Callithrix jacchus: one gene and its partner. The protein of the gene in region 2 interacts with the protein of the main gene of each other region in a biochemical or structural test. Links are inferred from orthologs where the notes say so. Each region holds a gene or a part of one and is shown on either strand. Other genes may lie near its edges.

What was found.
Region 1: of the proteins of MALT1 (region 2) and RELB, one has a biochemical effect on the other in vitro, tested with the Homo sapiens proteins (2 studies listed by BioGRID). The link is inferred for Callithrix jacchus from reciprocal best matches to the Homo sapiens genes MALT1 and RELB.

What each region holds. Positions count from the first base shown.
Region 1 is NC_133523.1:39,197,134-39,208,559, reverse strand, and holds the start of RELB (transcription factor RelB), read right to left. Parts: upstream 5,655-11,426; 5' UTR 5,511-5,654; coding exon 5,405-5,510; intron 4,105-5,404; coding exon 4,057-4,104; intron 1-4,056.
Region 2 is NC_133514.1:101,764,567-101,775,340, reverse strand, and holds the end of MALT1 (mucosa-associated lymphoid tissue lymphoma translocation protein 1), read right to left. Parts: intron 9,014-10,774; coding exon 8,864-9,013; intron 5,599-8,863; coding exon 5,441-5,598; intron 4,173-5,440; coding exon 4,047-4,172; intron 1,822-4,046; coding exon 1,384-1,821; 3' UTR 27-1,383; downstream 1-26. UniProt on the Homo sapiens protein: Protease that enhances BCL10-induced activation: acts via formation of CBM complexes that channel adaptive and innate immune signaling downstream of CARD domain-containing proteins (CARD9, CARD11 and CARD14) to activate NF-kappa-B and MAP kinase p38 pathways which stimulate expression of genes encoding pro-inflammatory cytokines and chemokines.

The DNA of each region.
Region 1 (11,426 bases), on a different chromosome or scaffold from region 2:
TTGCCATGTTAGTCAGGCTGGTCTTGAACTCCTGACCTAAGGTGATCCACCTGCCTCGGCCTTCCAAAGTGCTGGGATTACAGGCATGAGCCACTGCATCTAGCCTGTTTCATCATTCTCATGGCATTAATGAGGATGTCGCCGGGTGCAGTGGCTCACGCCTATAATCCCAGCACTTTGGGAGGCCGAGGCGGGTGGATCACGAGGTCAAGAGATGGAGACCATCCTGGTCAACAAGGTGAAATCCCGTCTCTACTAAAAATACAAAACTTAGCTGGGCATGGTGGTGCACGCCTGTAGTCCCAGCTACTCGGGAGGCTGAGGCAGGAGAATTGCTTGAACCCAGGAGGCGGAGATTGCGGTGAGCCGTGCCATTGCACTCCAGTCTGGGTAACAGCAGCGAAACTCCGTCTCAAAAAAAAAAAAAGAGGATGTCACGTGACCTCGCATGACACTGACTGTTACCTGTCTTCTCCTGCACACTGGGAGCACTGAAGAGTGGGAACAATGTCTGTCTGTCCTCGTTGCATCCCCAGGGTCCAGCATGTGTCTGGCCCATCAGAATGAAGGGAATTTTCCAGCCAGCCAGGCACAGTGGCTCATGCCTGTAATCGCAGCACTATGAGAGGCCAAGGCGGCTGGGTCAGTTGAGGTCAGGATTCTGAGACCAGCCTGACCAACATGGTGAAACTTGTCTCTCTAAAAGTACAAAAATCAGCTGGGTGTGGTGGCAGGTGCCTGTAATCCCAGCTATTTGAGAGGTTGAGGCAGGAGGATTGCTTGAACCTGGGAGGCAGAAGTTGCAGTGAGGTGAGATCACACCACTGCACTCCAGCCTGGGCAACAGAATGAGTCTTTGCCTCCAGAAAAAAAAAAAGAGAAGGGATTTTTCCTTCCCATTCTGTCTCTTTTCTTCTTTTTTTCTTTTTTAATTTTTTTTTTCAAAGATGGGGTTTCAACATGATGGCCAGGCTGGTCTTGAACTCCTGACCTCAGGTGATCCACCCACCTCGGCCTCCCAAAGTGCTAAGATTACAGGCGTGAGCCACCGCGCCCAGCCCCCATTCTGTCTCATTAGTTCTGGTATCCCCACCCTGCTGTTAAATATCACTGACCCCAGGGTTTCTTCATAGCCCTAATCACATTTTATAATCCCATATTTAATTTCTTTTTTTTTTTTGAGACGGAGTTTCGCTCTTATTACCCAGGCTGGAGTGCAATGGTGCAATCTCGGCTCACCGCAACCTCCGCCTCCTGGGTTCAGGCAATTCTCCTGCCTCAGCCTCCTGAGTAGCTGGGACTACAGGCACGCGCCACCATGCCCAGCTAGTTTTTTTGTATTTTTAGTAGAGACGGGGTTTCACCATGTTGACCAGGATGGTCTCGATCTCTTGACCTCGTGATCCACCCGCCTCGGCCTCCCAAAGTGCTGGGATTACAGGCATGAGCCACCGCACCCGGCCAATCCCATATTTAATTTAATGTTTGTGTGTCTACCTCCCATCTAGGTAGGGAACCCCAAGGCTAGGGCTGTTGTCAGTACTGCTCAGCACATGGCCAGGTACAGAACAGGTGCACAATAAATATTTATTGAATGGATGACATCAGAAATAACTCATTTGAAATCAAAGATCTAGGTCTTGAACCAGAAAAGTCTTGGCTTTGGCCGGGTGTGGTGGCTCATGCCTGTAATCCTAGCACTTTGGGAGGCCAAGCTAGGCAGATCGCTTCAGGCTGGAAGTTCCAGACCAGCCTGGCCAACATGGCAACCCCCCGTCTCTACTAAAAATACAAAAATGAGCTGGGTTTGGTGGCACATGCCTGTAGTCCCAGCGGGAGGCTGAGGCAGGAGAATCGCTTGAACCCAGGAGGCGAAGGTTGCAGTGAGCTGAGATTGTGACACTGCACTCCACCCTGGGTGACAGAGCAAGACTCTATCTCAAAAAAAAAAAAGAAAAGAAAACTCTCAGCCTTGTTCCTGCCCAGAACCACCACTTGGGCAGTGCCTGTCCCTGATGCCATCCTCCCTACACTCGCAGACCTGTTGGGGAACTGGCCTCACCTCTTCCATGGCCAAGCCAGAATGGCGTCCATCCAAATCCCAAGATGATACTGCCCGAGAAAGGCTCAGACCCAGCTAACTACAGCCACTGAGTATCCACAACGACAGGACTATCCCTGCCCTCTAAATCCCAGCAAACGTATATAAGAAAAATGTCATAATTTGGTCGAAATTCTGCATTTCCTTTTGAATGCAGTGAATTTTGGCTGGGGACTTTATAGACTAGTAATTCTCAGCATCACTTGGGAGCTTGCTAAAAATGAAAATAATTTCTCATCCCAAACCTACTGAATCAGAAACTCGAGAGGTAGGGCCTGACATTTTTTTTTTGAGACGGAGTCTCGCTCTTGTTACCCAGGCTGGAGTGCAATGGCACGATCTCGGCTCACCACAACCTCCGCCTCCTGGGTTCAGGCAATTCTCCTGCCTCAGCCTCCTGAGTAGCTGGGATTACAGGCACGCGCCACCATGCCCAGCTAATTTTTTGTATTTTTAGTAGAGACGGGGTTTCACCATGTTGACCAGGATGGTCTCGATCTCTTGACCTCGTGATCCACCCGCCTCGGCCTCCCAAAGTGCTGGGATTACAGGCGTGAGCCACCGTGCCCAGCCTATTTTTATTATTATTATTATTTTGAGACGGAGTCTTGCTCTGGAGCCCAGGCTGGAGTGCAGTAGTGTGAACTCACCCAGGCTGGAGTGTGGTGGTGCAATTTCAGCTCACTGCAACCTCTGCATCCTGGGTTCAAGCGATTCTCCTGCCTCAGCCTCCCTAGTAGCGGCGATTACAGGCGTGTGCCACCACGTCTGGTTAATTTTATATTTTTAGTAAAGACAGGGTTTCTCCATGTTGGTCAGGCTAATCTCAAACTCCCAACCTCAGGTGATTTGCCCATCTCAGCCTCCCAAAGTGCTGGGATTATAGGTGTGAGCCACCAAGCTCGGCCAACATTATGTTTTAACCAGCACTCTCAGTGAGTCTGATGCATGAGGTTTAAGAACCACTGTCTGGCTAGGTACAGTGGCTCACACCTGTAATCCCAGCACTTGGGGAGGCCAAGGCAGGCAGATTACCTGAGGTCAGGAGTTCAAGACCAGCCTGGCCAACATGGCGAAACCCCGTCTCTACTAAAAATATAAAAAATTAGTGGGGTGTGGTGGTGGGCACCTGTAATCCCACCTATTCAGGAGGTTGAGGCCGGAGAATAGCTTGAACCCAGGGAGGTGAAGATTGCAGTGAGCCAAAATCACACCACTGAATTCCAGCCTGGGCAATGGGACAGGACTCCATCTCAAAAAAAAAAAAAAACAGGCTGGGCATGGTGGCTCACGCCTGTAATCCAAGCACTTTGGAGTCCAAGGTGGGTGGATCACCTGAGGTCGGGAGTTCAAGACCAGCCTGACCAACATGGTGAAACCCCATCTTAAAAAAAAAAATTAAAATTAAAAACACCAAAAATTAACCACTGTCATAGACTGTTTAGTAATAATTATTATCATATTATTATAATACCAGTAACAGTTAACACTTATTGAGCCCTTACTGTGGAAAGTGTACCTCTATCAGTTCACTCAATCCTCTCAATCCCCCTGAAAGAGAGGCACTGTTGTTCTGTCCATCTTACAGATGAAGAAAACTGAGGCCTGGACTGGGGAACTGACTTGCAGACACTCACAGAGGGAGGGGCGGTGACAACAGCATGTAAACCCCAGCTCCAAAGCCCAGGATGGCAGTGATTACCTTCTAAGCCACAGAGAATCTCTAAAGAAGGCTTCTCACCTGGATACGTGGTTAGTTTTACCTGTCATGCTCTTAACAGTTCGATAGGTAGGAAAACCTAGGGGGCCCATCTCAACTGGCAGGGAGGGATGCAGCCTGTCAGGGGAAAGCTGAGGTGGACTTCGGTGAGCCCCCAAACAGAGACTTCTCCACGGGGTCCTCCCAACCCCATCCTGCACGTGCAGGTGGGCAGGAATGGGGGAGGGCTGCTCACCTGTGGTCCTGGAAACGGCAAGCGAGAGCGAGGAGAGGTCGGGGGACCCTGCAGAGAAGGAGGAAAGTCTCAGGAGGTGATGGAGGGCAGCCATGGGACCAAAGAATCTCCCAAGCAAGCCCCACCCTTTCCCCTCTTAGCCCCTCCCCTCTAGATCAGGCCCCTCCCCCGATTGCCCACTCGGTTGGCCAGGCTTCCTGGCTAAATCATGGACAGGTCCTGGCCTTTAGTTTCTGTCGTTCACACCAACCTCATCACACTCAGGGCCTGCTCCTTTTCTCCCTTAAAGTTGGACCTGGAGGGGACCCCTTCTTAAACTCATAAAAAGCCCCCATCCCGCTGGGGGCAGAGGCTCACACCTGTAATCCCAGCATTTTGGGAGGCCTAGGCAGGTGGATCACTTGAGGTCAGAAGTTCCAGGCCAGCCTGACCAACATGGTGAAACTCCGTCTCTACTAAAAATACAAAAATTAGCCGTGTGTGGTGGCAGGCGCCTGTAATTCTAGCTACTTGAGAGGCTGAGGCAAGAGAATCGCTTGAACTCGAGAGACAGAGGTTGCAATTAGCTGAGATTGTGACACTGTATTCCAGTCTGGGCAACATAGCGAGACTCTGTCTCAAAACAAAAAACCAAAACATCCTCCTCAACAATAATAAAAAAACGAAAACAAAAAATAAGTAAAATAAAATAAAGCAAAAAAACAGCCTCCTCTCAGCGTCACACCACTTTTTATTTTTTCAATGTCAAGGCCCCGCTTCTCCGTCGGGAGGCAAGCCCCACCCTCTCCTCATTCTCTGTATTAGGCCCCGCCCTGCTTTTTTGGGTAACAGGCCCTTCCACTCCTCTCGGTCAGAGTCAGGCCCGCCCCTTCCCCTTCTTTCGGCCAACTCAGGCCCCGCCCCCTTCTGGACCTCGCGGCCAGGCCCCGCCCCCTCACCCTCCGCGTTGGGCTCTGCTTCCTTTTTTGAGTCAGGCCTGGCCCTCTTCTTGTAGTCCCGGTGGGATCCCGCCCCTCTTCTCCCTCTCGGGGCCGGGGCTCGCCCCCATGCTCCCCAAAAGCAGATTTCGCTCCGCCTTCTCTGAGTCAGGCCACGCCCCCTTCTTTGCCTCAGGGTCAGGCCCCGCCCCCTCTCACTCTACAGCGGGACGCCTTGCTCGAACCTCCGGCCGGACTCCCTCATCACCCTCTGCCTCCTTCCTACTCCCTAATACAGTGTCTCCGGAACCCTCTGTCCCCGCGAAACCCCTAGATTCCCGTAGGATCCCCCAGACTACTCCGGGACTGCCAGAATTCCCCCATCTCCAGCCCCGGCCCGGACCCCTCTCCTGAACCCCAGCGCCGCTTACCCAAGGCCCCCAGCTCCGACGCAGCGGGCGGTCTGGCGACGCGGCGACTCGGCATGGCCCGGCCAGTGGGGACGGACGGCCCAGAGGCCCGCCCAGACCAAAGCATGCACGCGGGCAGGCCGGGCGGCCGGGAGGCACGGTCCGGTGGACGATTGCGGGTCGGGCGAGCGGCGCAAGGGCTGGGGCCGCAGGCCGGGCAGGACGCGCGGCGCCCCGGGCTGCGCGGGGCGCGGGGCCGGGCCGGGCGGGCGGCGGGAGGGGGCGGGGCGGCGGAATTCCCCGGCGCTGCCGGCCTGCGCGATCATTGGTCCGCACCCCGCCGTGACGTCACGGCTGGGGAACGGGAAAACCCCCACGCGTCACGTGGTCGCGGGGGCGGGGCCGGCCGGGAAAGGGAGGCTGTGCGCTCAGGAGGGGTTGGGCAGGCGTCGCTGCCCATTGCTTTGGACAAGACAACTGAGGCCTGCTTGGGACCATCACGCCCTACCCATTGAGCAAGCCGGGAAACTGCCTGCCTTGGTCTCCCAGTGGGACTTGAACCTGCCGTTTTTCAGGCTGGAAGGGAAGCTTCAGGATTGGGAGGTTTGCCAGTCCTCTACAGCTGCCATCCGTAATAATATTTCGGAAACCTCCAAGGTCTCGCTACACCTCAGTTTCCTCAACCGCAAATTGAGGATAAAGATATTTAAGGAATTTTTTTTTTTTAAAGACGGGGTTTCACCATGTTGGTCAGGCTGGTCTTGAACTCCCGACCTCAGGTGATCCGCTCGCCTTGGCCTCCAAAATGCTTGGATTACAGGCGTGAGCCACCGCTCCCGGCCCTTAAAGAATGTTTAAAGCTTGCGTGTCAGCTTCAGAATTTCTGTTTTGTGCATTGCTGTATCCCCAACGCCTAGACCAGCGCCTGGAACACCGTAGGTGCCCAATAAATGTTTATTTAGGCTGGGCGTGGTGGCTCACACCTGTAATCTCAGCACTTTGAGAGGCCGAGACGGGCGGATCACGAGGTCAGGAGTTCGAGACCAGTGTGATCAACATGGTGAAACCCGATCTCTACTAAAAATACAAAAATTAGCCAGGCACGGTGGTGCGCGCCTGTAATCCACCTCCTCAGGAGGCTGAGGCAGGAGAATCGCTTGAACCCAGGAGGCAGAGGTTGCAGTAAGCCAATATTTTGCGCCACTGCACTCCATCCTGGGCGACAGAGCGAGACTCCCTAAAAAAAGAAAAATGTTTATTGGATGAATGCATGGATGTTTTATTTAATGGTTTGTTCCTCCGCGCAGCCCCTGAAAGTTCCCCATAAATAGCCCAGAGCACTTTGAGCTCAAAAGCTCAGTGATGCAGTCTGCAAATGGCAACAGTGTAGCCTCCGTACACATCCTGAGCTTGGTGCCCAGCCCCTGAGCTCATCCCTTGCACCAGTGCCAGAAGCATATGATAGGATTATTGCAGAAGAGATTCAGGCTGAAAGAGGGGCAGCCATTTGGCTAGATCACATTCCTAAGTCCCCCATATCCCTGAGAACAACTAGGTAATCTATTAGGTTCTAACTTGAATGCCAGGCACTATCGAACCACAGATGCAGGGTTTGGTGTCTTTCCTTTGCATGTACAAAATTTGGGTGTTCTAGCTGGGCACAGTAGCTCACACCTGTAACCCCAATACTTTGGGAGGCCAAGGCAGGAGGATTGCTCAAGCCAGGGAAGTTGAGGCTGCAGTGAGCTGTGATCGTGTTACTGCACTCCAGCGTGAGTGACAGAGACCTTGTCTCAAAAAGAAAAATAAATAACTCTGTAAGTTGAATGTTCACAATAATCCTGTGAAGTATATGTTGTTATCCCCACAGAGCAGATGAGAACACTGAGACCCAGGGAAATTAATTTGGCCAAGGTCACACAATATTTAAATATGACACAAATATTTAAAACATAAAATTCTTAGAACAGGACCCGGCACATGTGAGTGCTATATACAAATGTGAATTTTTTTTTCTTTGAGACAGGGTGTCACTCTGTCAACCAAGTTGGAGTGGCAGGAACACGGCTCACCACAGCCTCAACCTCCTGGACTATGGAGATCTTCTCACGTCAGCCTCCAGAGTAGCTGGGACTACAGGCACACAGCATCACATCTGGCTAATCTTTTCTTTTCTTGAGACAGAGTCTCACTCTGTCGCCCAGGCTGGACTGCAGTGGCATGATCTTGCCTAACTGTAACCTTTGCTTCCCGGGTTGAAGCGATTCTCCTGCCTCAGCTTCCCAAGTAGCTGGGACCACAGGTGTGAGCTGCCATGCACAGTCTGTTTTCTATTTTTTTGTAGAGAGAGGCTCTGTTGCTCAGGCTGAGCTACTGCACCTGGCCACATGGCAACTGTGAACATCATTGTATTTAATCCTCATAACCATCCTATCATTAGGTCCACTAGACAGACGGGAAACTGAAGCTCAGAGAGATGAAGTCAGTTGCCTGAGGTCACACAGCTGGTGAGCTGAGACCACAGGTGTGTACCACCATGCCTGGCCTAATTTTTGTGTTTTTTTGCAGAGATGAGGTTTCAACATATTGCCTAGGCTGGTCTCAAACTCCTGGGCTCAAGCAATCTGCCCTCTTCAGCCTCCCAAAGTGCTGGGACTACATTTCTTTCTTTTTTTTAAAAGTAGAGACAGGGTTTTACCATGTTGGCCAGGCTGGTCTTGAACTCCTGACCTCAGGTGATTAGCCCATCTCGGCCTCCCAAAGTGCTGGGATTACAGGGGTGAACCACTGTGCCTGGCCCTATTGCTTTCTTTTTTTAAGAGATGGGATTTTAGGGCAGGCGCAGTGGCTCAAGCCTGTAATCCCAGCACTTTGGGAGGCTGAGGTGAGTGGATCACAAGGTCAAGAGATCGAGACCATCCTGGTCAACATGGTGAAACCCTGTCTCTACTAAAAATACAACAATTAGCTGGGCATGGTGGCATGCGCCTGTAGTCCCAGTTACTCGGGAGGCTGAGGCAGGAGAATTGATTGAACCCAGGAGGCGGAGGTTGCGGTGAGCCGATATCGCGCCATTGCACTCCAGCCTGGGTAACAACAGCGAAACTCCGTCTCAAAAAAAAAAGGGGGGGAATCAGACCATCCTGGCCAATATAGTGAAACCCTGTCTCTACTAAAAAATACAAAAATTAGCTGGGTGTGGTGGTGCGCGCCTGTAGTCCCAGCTACTGGGGAGGCTGAGGCAGGAGAATTGCTTAAACCCGGGAGGCGGAGGTTGCAGTGAGCCGAGATTGTGCCACTGCACTCCAGCCTGGCACCTCGCAATAGAGTGAGACTCTGTCCCAAATAAATAAATAAGAGATGGGATTTTGCTACGTTGTCCAGGCTGATCTTGACCTCCTAGCTTCAAGTGATCCTTCTGCCTGAACCTCCCAAAGTGCTGGGATTACAGGCATGAGCCACTGTGCCCGGCTCTTCAATATATAGAGTTATTACACACAGTGTAAGTGTCAGGCACTGCTCTAAAAGCGGGGGACATAGCGAGGCACACAGCAGACAAAAAGCCCTTACCACTGAGGAACTCTAAGTGAGGAGACACATGGAAAACAGGTAAGCAGTGTCTGGTGGTGGTGGTGGTATTACAGAAGAGAGCAGGATAAACAATGAGTTTGGAGGACCGCTTGCATGAGGAAGATCAGCGTCTGAGAGGTGCCATTTGAACAGGGAGCCAGAAGAGGTGAGGGATCCATGTGGATATCTGGGGGAGAGTGTTCAAAGCACAGGAACGAGCGTGTGCAAAGGCCCTGTGGTAGGAACATGCGTGGTGAAACCCCATCACTACTAAAAATACAAAAATTAGCTGGGCACAGTGGCAGGCACCTCTAATCCCAGCTACCTAGGAGGCTGAGGCAAGAGAATCGCTTGAACCTGAGAGGTGGAGGTTGCAGTGAGCTGAGATTGCACTGCTGCACTCTAGCCTGGGCAACAGAGCAAGACTCCATCTTTAAAAAAAAAAAAAAAAAAAAGGCCGGGCGCGGTGGCTCAAGCCTGTAATCCCAGCACCTTGGGAGGCCGAGGCAGTGGATCACGAGGTCAAGAGATTGAGACCATCCTGGTCAACATGGTGAAACCCCATCTCTACTAAAAAAAAATACAAAAAATTGTAATCCCAGCACTTTGGGAGGCTGAGGTGGGTGGATCACGAGGTCAAGAGATTGAGACCATCCTGGTCAACATGGTGAAACCCTATCTCTACTAAAAATACAAAAAATTAGCTGGGCATGGTGGCATGTGCCTGTAATCCCAGCTACTCGGGAGGCTGAGGCAGGAGAATTGCCTGAACCCAGGAGGCGGAGGTTGCGGTGAGTTGAGATCACGCCATCGCACTCCAGCCTGGGTAATGAGCAAAACTCCGTCTCAAAAAAAAAAAAAAAAAAAGGAACAGTGAGGAGGCTGGTGCGAGTGACTGACAGGAAAGAGGTGGAGATGAGGGCAAAGTGATGGACTGGGAAGGTGACCAGGACAGTGAGTAATATTAAATGTAATGGATGAAGCCCACCTCATGCTGCACTTAGACTAGTGTTTATGATAAGGGTGACAAATAGCAGCTCCATTGTTGCAGGACCAGAAGCTCTCCTGATTCCTCTCTGCCCCTTGCCAATGCCAGGCCTCAAAAATAGTTGTTGATCCTGGGCATGGTGGCTCACGCCTGTAATCCCAGCACTTTGGGAGACCAAGGCAGGTGGATCACTTGAGGTCAGTAATTTAAGACCAGCCTGGCCAAATGATGAAACTCGGTCTCTACTAAAAACACCAAACTAGCCAAGCATGGTGGCGTGCGCCTGTAGTCCCAGCTACTAAGGAGGCGGAGGCAGAACAATCGCTTGAACCCAGGAAGCAAAGGCCAAAAGTGAGCCGAGATTGTGTCACTGCACTCCAGCCTGGGTGACAGAGTGAGATTCTGTTTTTTTAAAAAAAAAAAAAGGCCAGGCGCGGTAATCCCAGCACTTTGGGAGGCCAAGGCAAGTGGATCACGAGGTCAAGAGATCGAGACCATCCTGGTTAACAAGGTGAAACCCCGTCTCTACTAAAAATACAAAAATTAGCTGGGCATGGTGGTGCACGCCTGTAGTCCCAGCTACTCGGAAGGCTGAGGCAGGAGAATTGCTTGAACCCAGGAGGCGGAGGTTGCAGTGAGCCGAGATCGTGCCATTGCACTCCAGTCTGGGTAACAACAACAAAACTCCATCTCAAAAAAAAAAAAAAAAAGGTCTGTAGTGACTAACTAAAAGGACATGTCAGGGTTGGGAGCCGTGGCTCATGTCTGTAATCCCAGCACTTTGGGAGGCTGAGGCAGGCAGATCACCTGAGATCAAGAATTTAAGGCTAGCCTGGCCAACATGGCGAAACCCCGTGTCTACTAAAAATACAAAAATTAGCCAGGTGTGGTGGCAGACACCTATAATCCCAGCTACTTGGGAGGCTGAGGCAGAAGAATCACTTGAACCTGGGAGACGGAGGTTGCAGTGAGCCGAGATCATGCCACTGCACTCACTCCAGCTTGGGTGACGGACGCTCTGCCTGAAAAAAAAAAATTAAAAAGTAAAAAGGATGGACGGGCATGGTGGCTGTAATCCCAGCACTGTGCTAGGCCAAGATGGGTAGATCACCTGAGGTCAAGAGTTTGAGACCAGCCTGACCAATATGGTGAAACCCTGAATCTATTAAAAATACGAAAAATTTAGCGGGCCTCGTGTATCCCAGATAGTCAGGAGGCTAAGGCAGGAGAATTGCTTGAACCCAGGAGGTGGAGGTTGCAGTGAGCTGAGATCGTGCTATGCACTCCAGTCGGGTGACAGAGTGAGACTCCATCTCAAAAATAAATAAATAGGTCCGGTGGCTCAAGCCTGTAATCCCAGCACTTTGGGAGGCCGAGGTGGGAGAATTGCTTGAACCCAGGAGGCGGAGGTTGCGGTGAGCCGAGATCGTGCCATTGCACTCTGGCCTGGGTAACAAGAGCAAAACTCCGTCTCTAAATAAATAA
Region 2 (10,774 bases):
ATGTATACACACACAACCACATTCTCCTAAAAGCCGTCATTCCATATTTAATTCAGTGTTTGTGGGAGAATATTTTGTAGAACATAATTACTGTGAATAATGAGAACTGACTGTATATTATTTATTTATTTATTACATGTTGAACCAACCTTGAATTCCTGGGATAAATTCCACTTGGTCATGATGTATAATTCTTTTTATATGTTGCTAGATTCAGTTTGCTAGTGTTTTGTTAATGCTTTTTATGTTTGTATTAATAAGGAATATTGACTTATAATTTTCTTGTGATGTCTAGTCTGGTATCACGGTAATACTGATCTTATAGAGTAAGTTGGGAAGTGTTCTATTCTACTTTAGAAGGAGTTTGTAAAAAATTTAGTGCTAATTTTAATGTTTGGTAGAATTCAGCAGGGAAGCCATCTAGGCCTGGGATTTTCTTTGTGAGACTTTTAATATTACAAATTAGTATTTTTCCTTGTTAGTGTCAATTGCATTTTTAACCAACTTTAGGGAGAACCAGAAATGATAAGAATATTCTCTCATTAGGCCAGTAAAATTCAAGAAGAAAACACATTAAGGAAGATGCTAAATATCTGGAAAATTCAGCTAGGCTGCAATGAAAATTAACCATCATATCTTGATTCTTAACCTCTGTTAGGTCTAGCTTTAACAAACATTTTGTTACTTCTCATGTGGTTTCATTATCTTATTAACAAGAAATTTCAGCCTGTTCTACATCAGATTTATATACAAACCTCTTAAGTAAAACTTGTAGCAAACTCCTATAATCAAAAACTAAAGTTTGTACATTCCTTGAGATAATACATAGATATGTATCTCTCTCTATTTATATATATATATAAATATATTTCACTCTATCTACAAAAATAACACTTATCTCAGAAGCTGTCAGGAAGGCAGTGTGTAGTGGAAAAAATAGTGGAATAGAATTCTGGTGCCAGCTCTAACTTAGATAAGATGCCTTTATGTGTTTCTCCCATTGAGGAAATCAGGTTACGCCTGGTGATCAGCAAGGTTTTTTCTGGTATTAAAAATACAATGACTTATTCTACAATAATGCTATTCCAATTGCTCTTACTTCAGAGTGGTCACAATGAAAATATTTTGTATATACATATAAACATACCCCGATACTTCATTTGTACAGAACTAATCAACCAATTCATAAAATCTTAGAAGAGAAAGTCTGTGATTAAATAATATAATTCCAACAATTCAAAGTCCTGAAGTTTGCTATGTAACAGTTACTAGTATTCTTTCTCTACATATACAGATTTGCCTGTTCACAATGTCTCACTTTATGTAAGTACAGTACTATTTCACATGAGGCATCTACAATTATGCAAACTTTTAAAAATGAGGTCATTTTTCAGAAATTCTGAGCCTGTCAGAGAAACTAAATGGTATTTCATCAGTTGTCTCTACTGGCACGTTACTTCTACTAAAATGACATGAAGAATGGTGAGCAAAACTTGAAATAAATGCATCTGGAGTCCGGCTGCAGTGACAGCTATCTGCTGGTGTAACGTTACTTGGATTACTAGGATGTGAATGATAAATACCATGGAATGGGTCTTGCAATGAGTGATAATGTCCTGCTCCTCCTGAGGTGGCGGCAGAACTCTGGTAAGGACCATTAGACATGAGACAAGTTTGAAAGCAAGTCTTCCTTCCCAAACCTCGATGCATGTCTAATTTAGCAATGAGAGGTTTCCCAACATTCACCTCCTGCTTGTCCTCTACAGTATCTTCCAATCCTGAGTACTGATACGATAAACATACTGTAAAGACTAGATGTTCCTGAAAAGGAAAAAAAAAATCTGGTTTATTATTGGCATCAACAGGGAATAAATATGTAGTAATCTGAAAAAATATTATTCATACCCCTACCCCACCACACATCCACTTGCTCTCCTTTCCCAGGTTCCACATCTTCAAGGCATCCTTTTTATCTCTCCTAAACTGAGAAACACCAGCTCTCATCTTCCTTTTCCTTCATGCAATACTTACAACAAATTTAGTACAATTGCTAGTTCTTACTATTGTTAGTAGTCAAAATGAAAGAGACCTGATATTCAAGATGAACAGGGAAAACATATTTTCCAAGCAGTGCAGCTTAGGACACTTATCCTTTCCTATTATTAGAGATGGGGAATTATTCTTTAATTAAAAAATGAACTGGGCCAGGCATGGTGCCTCACACCTATAATCCCACCACTTTGAGAGGACGAGGCAGGTGGATCATTTGAAGTTACGGTTTCACCACACTGGCCAGCCTGGTCTTGAACTCCTATCTCTACTAAAAGTACAAAAAATGAACTGGGCATGGTGGTGTGCACCTGTAGTCCCAGCTACTCAGGAGGCTGAGGCCTAAGAGCCACTTGAGTCTGGGAGGTGGAGGCTGCAGTGAGCCAAGACTGCCACCACTGCACTCAAGCCTAGGTGACAGAGCGAGACATCATCTAAAAACAACTGTTTTTATTTCTTGAGATGGAGTCTCACTGTCGCCAGGCTGGAGTGCAGTGGTGTGATCTCAGCTCACTGCAACCTCGGCCTCCTGGGTTCAAGTGATTCTCCTGCCTCAGCCTCCTGAGTAGCTGGGACTACAGGAGTCCACCAACATGGCAGGCTAATTTTTCTATTTTTAGTAGAGACTGGGTTTCACCATGTTGGCCAGGATGGTCTCCATCTCTTGACCTTGTGATCCACCTGCCTAGGCCTCCTAAAGTGCTGGGATTACAGGTGTGAGCCGCTGCGCCTGGCCCCAAAACAACTGGTTTTATACCAGTTTCACAAAAAAAGCTTAAGCTGTTTTTAAAATATTAAAATCTGTAATCATAGGTGGAAAATATAACTGAATCAGATACCAGGCTAACTTTTTAAGAGAAGAAAGGATTTTAAATAGATGAGCTCTGAACAGGATGACAACAGGTTTATGTGTGCAATTCTTAATCGTGCCCATTCCATTTCCTGAGTTTTGGCTGATATGGTCATGTAGTTGTGAACAAATTAAAATCTCAATTTTTGCACAGAAAAGCTTTCATTAGAACACTCAACATGCAGAACTAGCTTCTCATTTGTAAATCAACTGGAAATTAAAAAATTGAAATTCCAATTCTAATTTGCTAAATATGTTTACTTATAGAACTAGGAAATGATTACTTGAAAATCTCAACATATTTAAAAGTAGAATATGGAGCTGGGCGTGGTGGCTCACATCTGTAATCCGAGTGCTTTGGGAGGCCAAGAAGGGGGGATTCCTGAGACCAGGAGTTCAAGTTTGGCTTGGGCAACATAGTGAGATCCCTTCTCTACAAAAAAATTAAAAAAAAAATTAGTGTGGTGGCTCATGCCTGCAGACTCAGCTGCTTGAAAATCTGAGGTGGCAGGATTGAGACCAAGAGTTTGAAGTTACAGTAAGCTATGTTCATGCCACTGCACTCCAGCCTGGGTGAAGAATAAGAAGCTGTCTCCAAAAAAAGAAAAGAAAAAAGAATATGCTCTAGGCTGGGCGTGGTGGCTCATGCCTATAATCTCAGCACTTTCGGAGGCTGAGGAAGGAGGATCATGAGGTCAGGAGTTCGAGACCAGCCTGACCAACACGGTGAAACCCTGTCTCTACTAAAGATACAGAAATTAGCCAGGGCTTGTGTTGCATGCCTGTAATCCCAGCTACTTGGGAGGCTGAGGCAGGAGAATCCCTTGAACCCAGGAGTTGGAGGTTTTAGTGGGCTGAGATCACGCCACTGTGCTCCACCCTGGGCAACAGAGCGAGACTCTATTTTAAAAGAAAGATAAAATGCTCTATGTTCCTAATTTTTCAGCAGTATGGATGGTAAGCATGAATAAAGTCCTCTGCCCACTGTCAGAAACAGAATATAAAAAGAGTCACTGATGGGACCTTCTGTAGATTGGTTATCTCTACAGAATACTCACTAAGGCGGCATATCTATGGTCTATGCCAAAATAAATTTCCAGTTTTGAAAAGTTTTTCATTAGAAGCTATAAACAGAAAAGGTAGTAACCTTTAATTTTTGCAGTGAACTGAGTCTGGTATAGAGGCAATGCTTGGGAAGATCCTTGGATACCAAGTAGCTGCCAGTTTCTTCAGGAGTGCCTTTATTTGCATCTTTTGGATCAATATCTAGGTCCTATAAAAGAAAAATCAGTGACTGTTAATAATGAAATCCATGAAAGCCACAATATAATCTAGCACATAAGATGTCTTAACTGATACTGTTCTCTCATGAATTTTGGCCTCTCGTGAATTTTGTAAGTCCAAAATTATTTATCCAAGACTAAATGAAAACAACAATCTATGGTTATAATAGGAATTCTCAATTCTGTACTAAGCCATTTAAAAAGTAAAGTGAGCTCTGAAAGAGTTTCCTTTCAAATGATTCCTAGAAATGCTCCTTGAGCTACTCAGGTTTCCTCTTTTTTTTTTTTTTTAAATTTTTTATTGGATTATAGGTTTTGGGGTACATGAGCAGAGCATGCAAGACAGTTGCGTAGGTACACACATGGCAGTGTGCTTTGCTTTTCTTCTCCCCTTCACCCACATTTTGCAAGGTTTCCTCTTAAGCAGAGAGAGTCCCATTAGTGTTTGACTCTTGGATTCTCTCCTCTTAATCATCACTTGTTGGAAGGTGCAGGGAAATTTATATAATTAGAATATTTAAGAAAGATAAATAAGCAACCTTTTCCTTTTTCTTATTTTAGAGCCAACCCAAAGGCCAAGAGGGTTCTGCTCCTCTAGTGAGAAACCCACAGGGCTCCCCTTGCTCAGCACCCCAGGAAGCCTATCTGGGCTCTGTGCTGCTGAGACTGGAGGTGTGGGGTGGCCCTTGAATTCTGGGGTTTGGTGCTAGACCATTTACTCTCACATGAAGCAATACCCTCCACAAAGCCTCTATCAGTAACAGAAGTGATATTCTGGGTTTCTGCGTGTCTTACTCCTTGCTTGCTTCTCAGTTTGTCACACTCACGTAGGAAAGAGGGGTACTATTTACTGGCTTCTTTAGACTAATGTAAAATAAACATCATATCTAAATGTTTGAAAAGAACAGAACTAGATTTCTATTATTCCAGTGACCATAACTTGACAAGACTTAAAAACCATTGTTTCCAATATAAGTTATAACTGTTTAAAAGGAAGTTATTCTCGACATATTTAAAGCACATTTTATTCCTTCACATTTGCTATGCTGTTTAAGATATTAAAGGTGTCTTTCTTGAGTAAACTTTAGACATTTCTAAATCTGACAAACTTAAGGTATTTTGATCATTAGTAAATATTACGACCAGTGTTACTAAACAATAAACGAATATACACACATATATAAATATACATATTTCCTATATGTTTAATAAGTGAATTTATCACTGTATTTTAAATAAGAGAACAAAGGAGACTCACAAGTGGGAAATCGGTAACGTAGGCATCACACATTATTATCTCCGGTGGTTTGTAAACTATACTTGTATAGATTATCATGACATTGGAAAACTCAGCTGCAAATCCTAATTGAATCTGAACACCACAGTCAAACTTAAGACACATACTTTCTGGAAGTTCTGAAAAAGAACAATAACAACAACTTTGGTAGAATTCCTGATAAGAGGCACATACTTATGAAGGAGAATATAGTTAGCCTTTGTTTTGCTTAAAAACATGAATCATATTGTTTAAACACACATTTTAAAAAATAAAGCTCAATACTCTGCTGGCTGAACAAAAGCTTTTATTTACCATTTGCTCATAGTTCTTATACATCTGTATATATATTTTTTATTGTGGCAATAAAAAATATGCATACAATTGTAGATACATTTTCACTGTTATCTCAATTTATATGACCAGAATTTTTTGTTGTTGTTGTTGAGACGGAGTCTCGCTCTGTTGCCATGCTGAAGTGCAGTGGTGTGATCTTGGCTCATGGAAACCTCTGACTCCCTGGTTCAAGCGATTCTCCTGCCTCAGCCTCCCTAATAGCTGGGATTACAGGCACATGGCACCAGGCCCAGCTAATTTTTGTATTTTTAGTAGAGATGGGGTTTCACCATGTTGGCCAGGATGGTCTCAAACTCCTGACCTTGTGATCTGCCTGCACTGGCCTCCCAAAGTGCTGGGATTACAGGTGTGAGCCGTCACGCCTGGCCCATGACCAGAATTTTTAATAAAGCACAATGTCACTGAATGGCCACACTATAGTTTAACGTTCTGTTAACTCTTGAATTATAATACTTCCAGGTTTTATTGTTTTTCTATCATAGTTAATCTTTGTTTGTATATATGTAATGCTTTAAGGTTGTTAGGTATAGCTATGCGATTGTTCCTTTACATATGGGACAAATTATTATTATTTTATTTTTTTGAGACGGAGTTTCGCTCTTGTTACCCAGGCTGGAGTGCAATGGTGCAATCTCGGCTCACCGCAACCTCGGCCTCCTGGGCTCAGGCAATTCTCCTGCTTCAGCCTCCTGAGTAGCTGGGATTACAGGCACGTGCCACCATGCCCAGCTAATTTTTTGTATTTTTAGTAGAGACGGGGTTTCACCATGTTGACCTGGATGGTCTCGATCTCTTGACCTTGTGATCCACCCGCCTCGGCCTCCCAAAGTGCTGGGATTACAGGCGTGAGCCACCGCGCCCGGCCCGGGACAAATTATTTTTAATTTACATGGAATATAAAGTTTTACCATAACATGTCCAAAACAGTTTTAATAATTTTTAAAACAACTGTCTACTTGATGGGATTAAAAAGTAGAAAGATATCATCATAGTTTTAATTATTCCTTAGTTACTTAAATTAGCCATTTTTAAGATTTCTTTCTCAATTAATATACTTCTAGAAATGTGGATTATTGAATTTGCATCCATTTGCTTGTTTACTGAGGAGTCTTAATTTTTTTCTCTTAGCATTTTGTATGAGCTCATTATTAAAAAATATTTTAAAAATGACCTACTTGATTAAATTCGTTACAAATACTTTTTTTTTTTTTTTTTTGAGATGGAGTCTCACTCTGTCACCAAGCTGGAGTGTGGTGGTGTGATCTTAGCTCACTGCAACCTCCGTCTCTTGGGTTCAAGTGATTCTCCTGCCTCAGCTTCCTTAGTAGCTAGAACTACAGGTGCATGTCACCACATCCAGCTAATTTTTTTCTGTTTTTAGCAGAGATGGTGTTTTACCATGTTGGCCAGGATGATCTTGATCTCCTGACCTTGTGATCCTCCCACCTCAGCCCCCTAAAGTGCTGGGATTACACCATGCCTGGCCTGTTACAAATACTTTCTCTATGACCTTTTAGTGTTATGAGGTTTCGTTTACTGTTGATCTTTACCCCTATAATTTTGTTATTGTTTGTTCTTTAGATCTTCTATAGAGAAAAGACATTCAATTTTAATTACTTCTCCAGTTATCTGGAATGGTGAGATATTTATGGCATTTTACATTTTAATGTGCTTTAATATGTTAACTTACCAAAAATATATATTGGAGAACAATTTTTTTTTTTTTTTGAGACCGTTTTCAGGCTGGAGTGCAATAGTGCAACCTTGGCTTACTGCAACCTCCAACTCCTGTGTTCATGCGATTCTCCTGGCTCAGTATTCAGAGTAACTGGGATTATAGGTGCTCAGCTAATTTTTATATTTTTAGTAGAGAGGGAGTTTCACCATGTTGGCCAGGCTGGTCTTGAACTCCTGACCTCAGGTGATCCACCCATCTCGGCCTCCCAAAGTGCTGGGATTACAGACATGAGCCACCAAGCCTGGCCAAGAACAAAAATTATTGTAAAAATATTTTATGGAACTTCAATAAATACAATTATAAGAGACTCACAGAATAGATACTTGGACTCAGAAAATCCACAATATTTCAATCAGTAATTTAAACGTATTTTTTCATTAAACCATATACAATTACCCAAAGGTAATTATGCTACAGACTGATTGTTGATCAACCTATTTGATCAACCTACTGATCAAGTATCCAAGAGAGGATGCTGAGTTATATTAGTAATCACAAGCACAGAGGATTTGCTGAGTGCCATGCTCATTTCTACCTGTGCCATCACTCAATCCCAATAACCTACGAAGCAGGTACTATTTATTTTATTTTCGAGATGGAGTCATGTTCTGTTACCCAGACTGGAGTGCAGTGGCACAGTCTCTGCTCACTGCACTGCAACCTCTACCTCCAACGTGCAAGGGATTCTCTTGTATCAGTGCCTAGTGGTTGGAATTACAGGAACATGCCACCACGCCCTGCTAACTTTTTGTGTTTTTAGTAGAGACAAGGTTTTGCCATGTTTCCCAGGCTGGTCTTGAACTCCTAACCTCAGGTGATCTACCTGCTTTAGCCTCCCAAAGTGCTAGGTTTACAGGTGTGAGTCACTGCGCCTGGCCTGAAACAGATACTATTTCTTATTCATGTTATAGATAACATGTTCATAGATTGGTTCAGACTGGATCAGACCCCAAATCCACGAATTTTGACAGCTGCACACTTTAACAGGTCGCAATACAGGAGAATCTAAGGGATTATGTATTAGACAAATGGAAAATTAACCTATTTTTAAAATAGAAAAATTTTTAAATGGTTATTTTAATTTTACCAATAGTGAAAATAATGGGCTAAATAATTTGTATTTCCAACATCAAATAAACCAGTGTAATTAATATCCATAATTGAAACATTTGTTTGGTTTGAGATTTGTCTGGTAGGCCAAAATATTTTCATTGTAAAACTGGGAGGAAAGTTAGTTATTCAGAAGAAGAAAACTATATGACTTAAGATAAATATATTATAGATCAAACAAAAAACAGACTTTACTATACCATGAGCCTTGGCCCACTGTAGATTCCGCACCAGAGATTCTGCAGAATATTCTGTTCCCTGTATTGGATCAGTAAGTGCTCTCTTCTCAGATAAACTACTTCGAATCTCTAAAGCCTGTTTGCCTTTGGTAAGGTGACACTTACCCATATCTAAAAGATATGAAAAGAAATATTATTTTTTTGAGATGAAATCTCGCTCTGCTGCCCAACCCAAGCTGGAGTGCAGTGGTGTGATCTCAGCTCACTGCAACCTCTGCCTCAGCCTCCCGAATAGCTGGGATTACAGGTGCCCAGCTATTTTGTATTTTTAGTTTTGAACGCCTGACCTCATGATCCACCTGCCTCTCTGCTTCCCAAAGTGCTGGATCACAGGCACGAGCCACCATGTTCGGCCAATACTATTTTAAGACCACCAATTCTTATGTTTTAAATATTTAGGCTAATAACTACCCTACGTTATCAGGTTACATTCTCAGTATCATTTATCCACTCAACAAATATTTCCTGAGCACCTACTATGTGGTAGACACAGCAGGCATGTTTTAATTTTTACTCATGTGTAGATATTCATAAATAGTATATGCCAATGTTTTACGTTTTTGAATTCAACAAAAATGTTACATGTATGTCTTTGTAATGTGCCATTTTCATTCAACATGTTTTAGATACAGACTAATGTATATGGATACACATCAGTTTAAATTTGGACTATCATGTTCTTTAAGTTATAGTTTATCCTACTTCTTTCTGCTATGTTATAAATTCACAATAGTAAGGTTCTTTAAAAAAAAAGAAAAAAAAGACAAAAATATTCAGTGATCCAGAACAAAGTCTAAGTTAAATCAGCCTGTTGGGGGTTAAAAGGAGACACCAAGTGTTGTAAAAGTACCTCAAAATTAGTATTTGTTGGAGAAGAAAAGATATAAAAAGGAAAATGAGCCAAATAAAAAAATTAGATAGTAAAAACAGATACAAAAAATAACAAACGCAAATGAACTTAATTTTCTCATTAAAAGACTCAGATTGGATTTTAAACAATTTGTTATATGATGCCTCCAAAAGCTACAGTAAAGCAGAACAACATGAAATGTTTGAAAGTAAAAGTGTAAAGAATAACATATTAGGTCAACAAAAAGGAAGCTGGTATGGCTCTATGACGATACAAAAAAACAAAAAGCATTATTTGGAATGGAGGCATCACTACATAATAAAACGTTCAATTCAGTAAGAAAATATAAACATTTAAAGCACAATAAAATAGTCATAATATGTATGTATTAGGAGTTCTATGTATGTATTAGTTATATGTATATAATAACTAATAACCCTAATATATGGTTAGGGTTATTAGTTATATGTATGTATTAGTTATATGTATGTAATAACTAATAACCCTAATACATGGTTAGGGTTAGGGTTATTAGTTATATGTATGTATTAGTTATATGTATTTATTATATGTAAGTATCTACTAATACATATTATGAAGTAAAAATTGCTATAATTACAAGAAAAATTAGGTAAATTGAGAGATTTCAGCATCTCAACTATTGATCAAAAATCAGCAGAAATACAGAACTGAACAAAAATTAATACGCCAAACCTAATGGGCATACATAAAGCTCTACAACCAGTCACTATAAAAATATCAATTTTTCTCAAGTACACATGCAAAATTGACAAAATTTCATCTTTTACTTGGCCATAATGAAAACTCACAAATTTCAAAGCATGGCAACTAGACAGAGTTTGTTTGATCACAAAGCAATTAAGGTAGAAATAAAAACTGAAAAGCTAAATAAAAATTCCTGCCGTGTTTGAAAATTAAAGACAATATTATATAACTTAAAGAAAAAGCAGAAATTAAAAAATCTAAACCTGTAGGATGTGATGAAAGTGATGTTCTAAGAG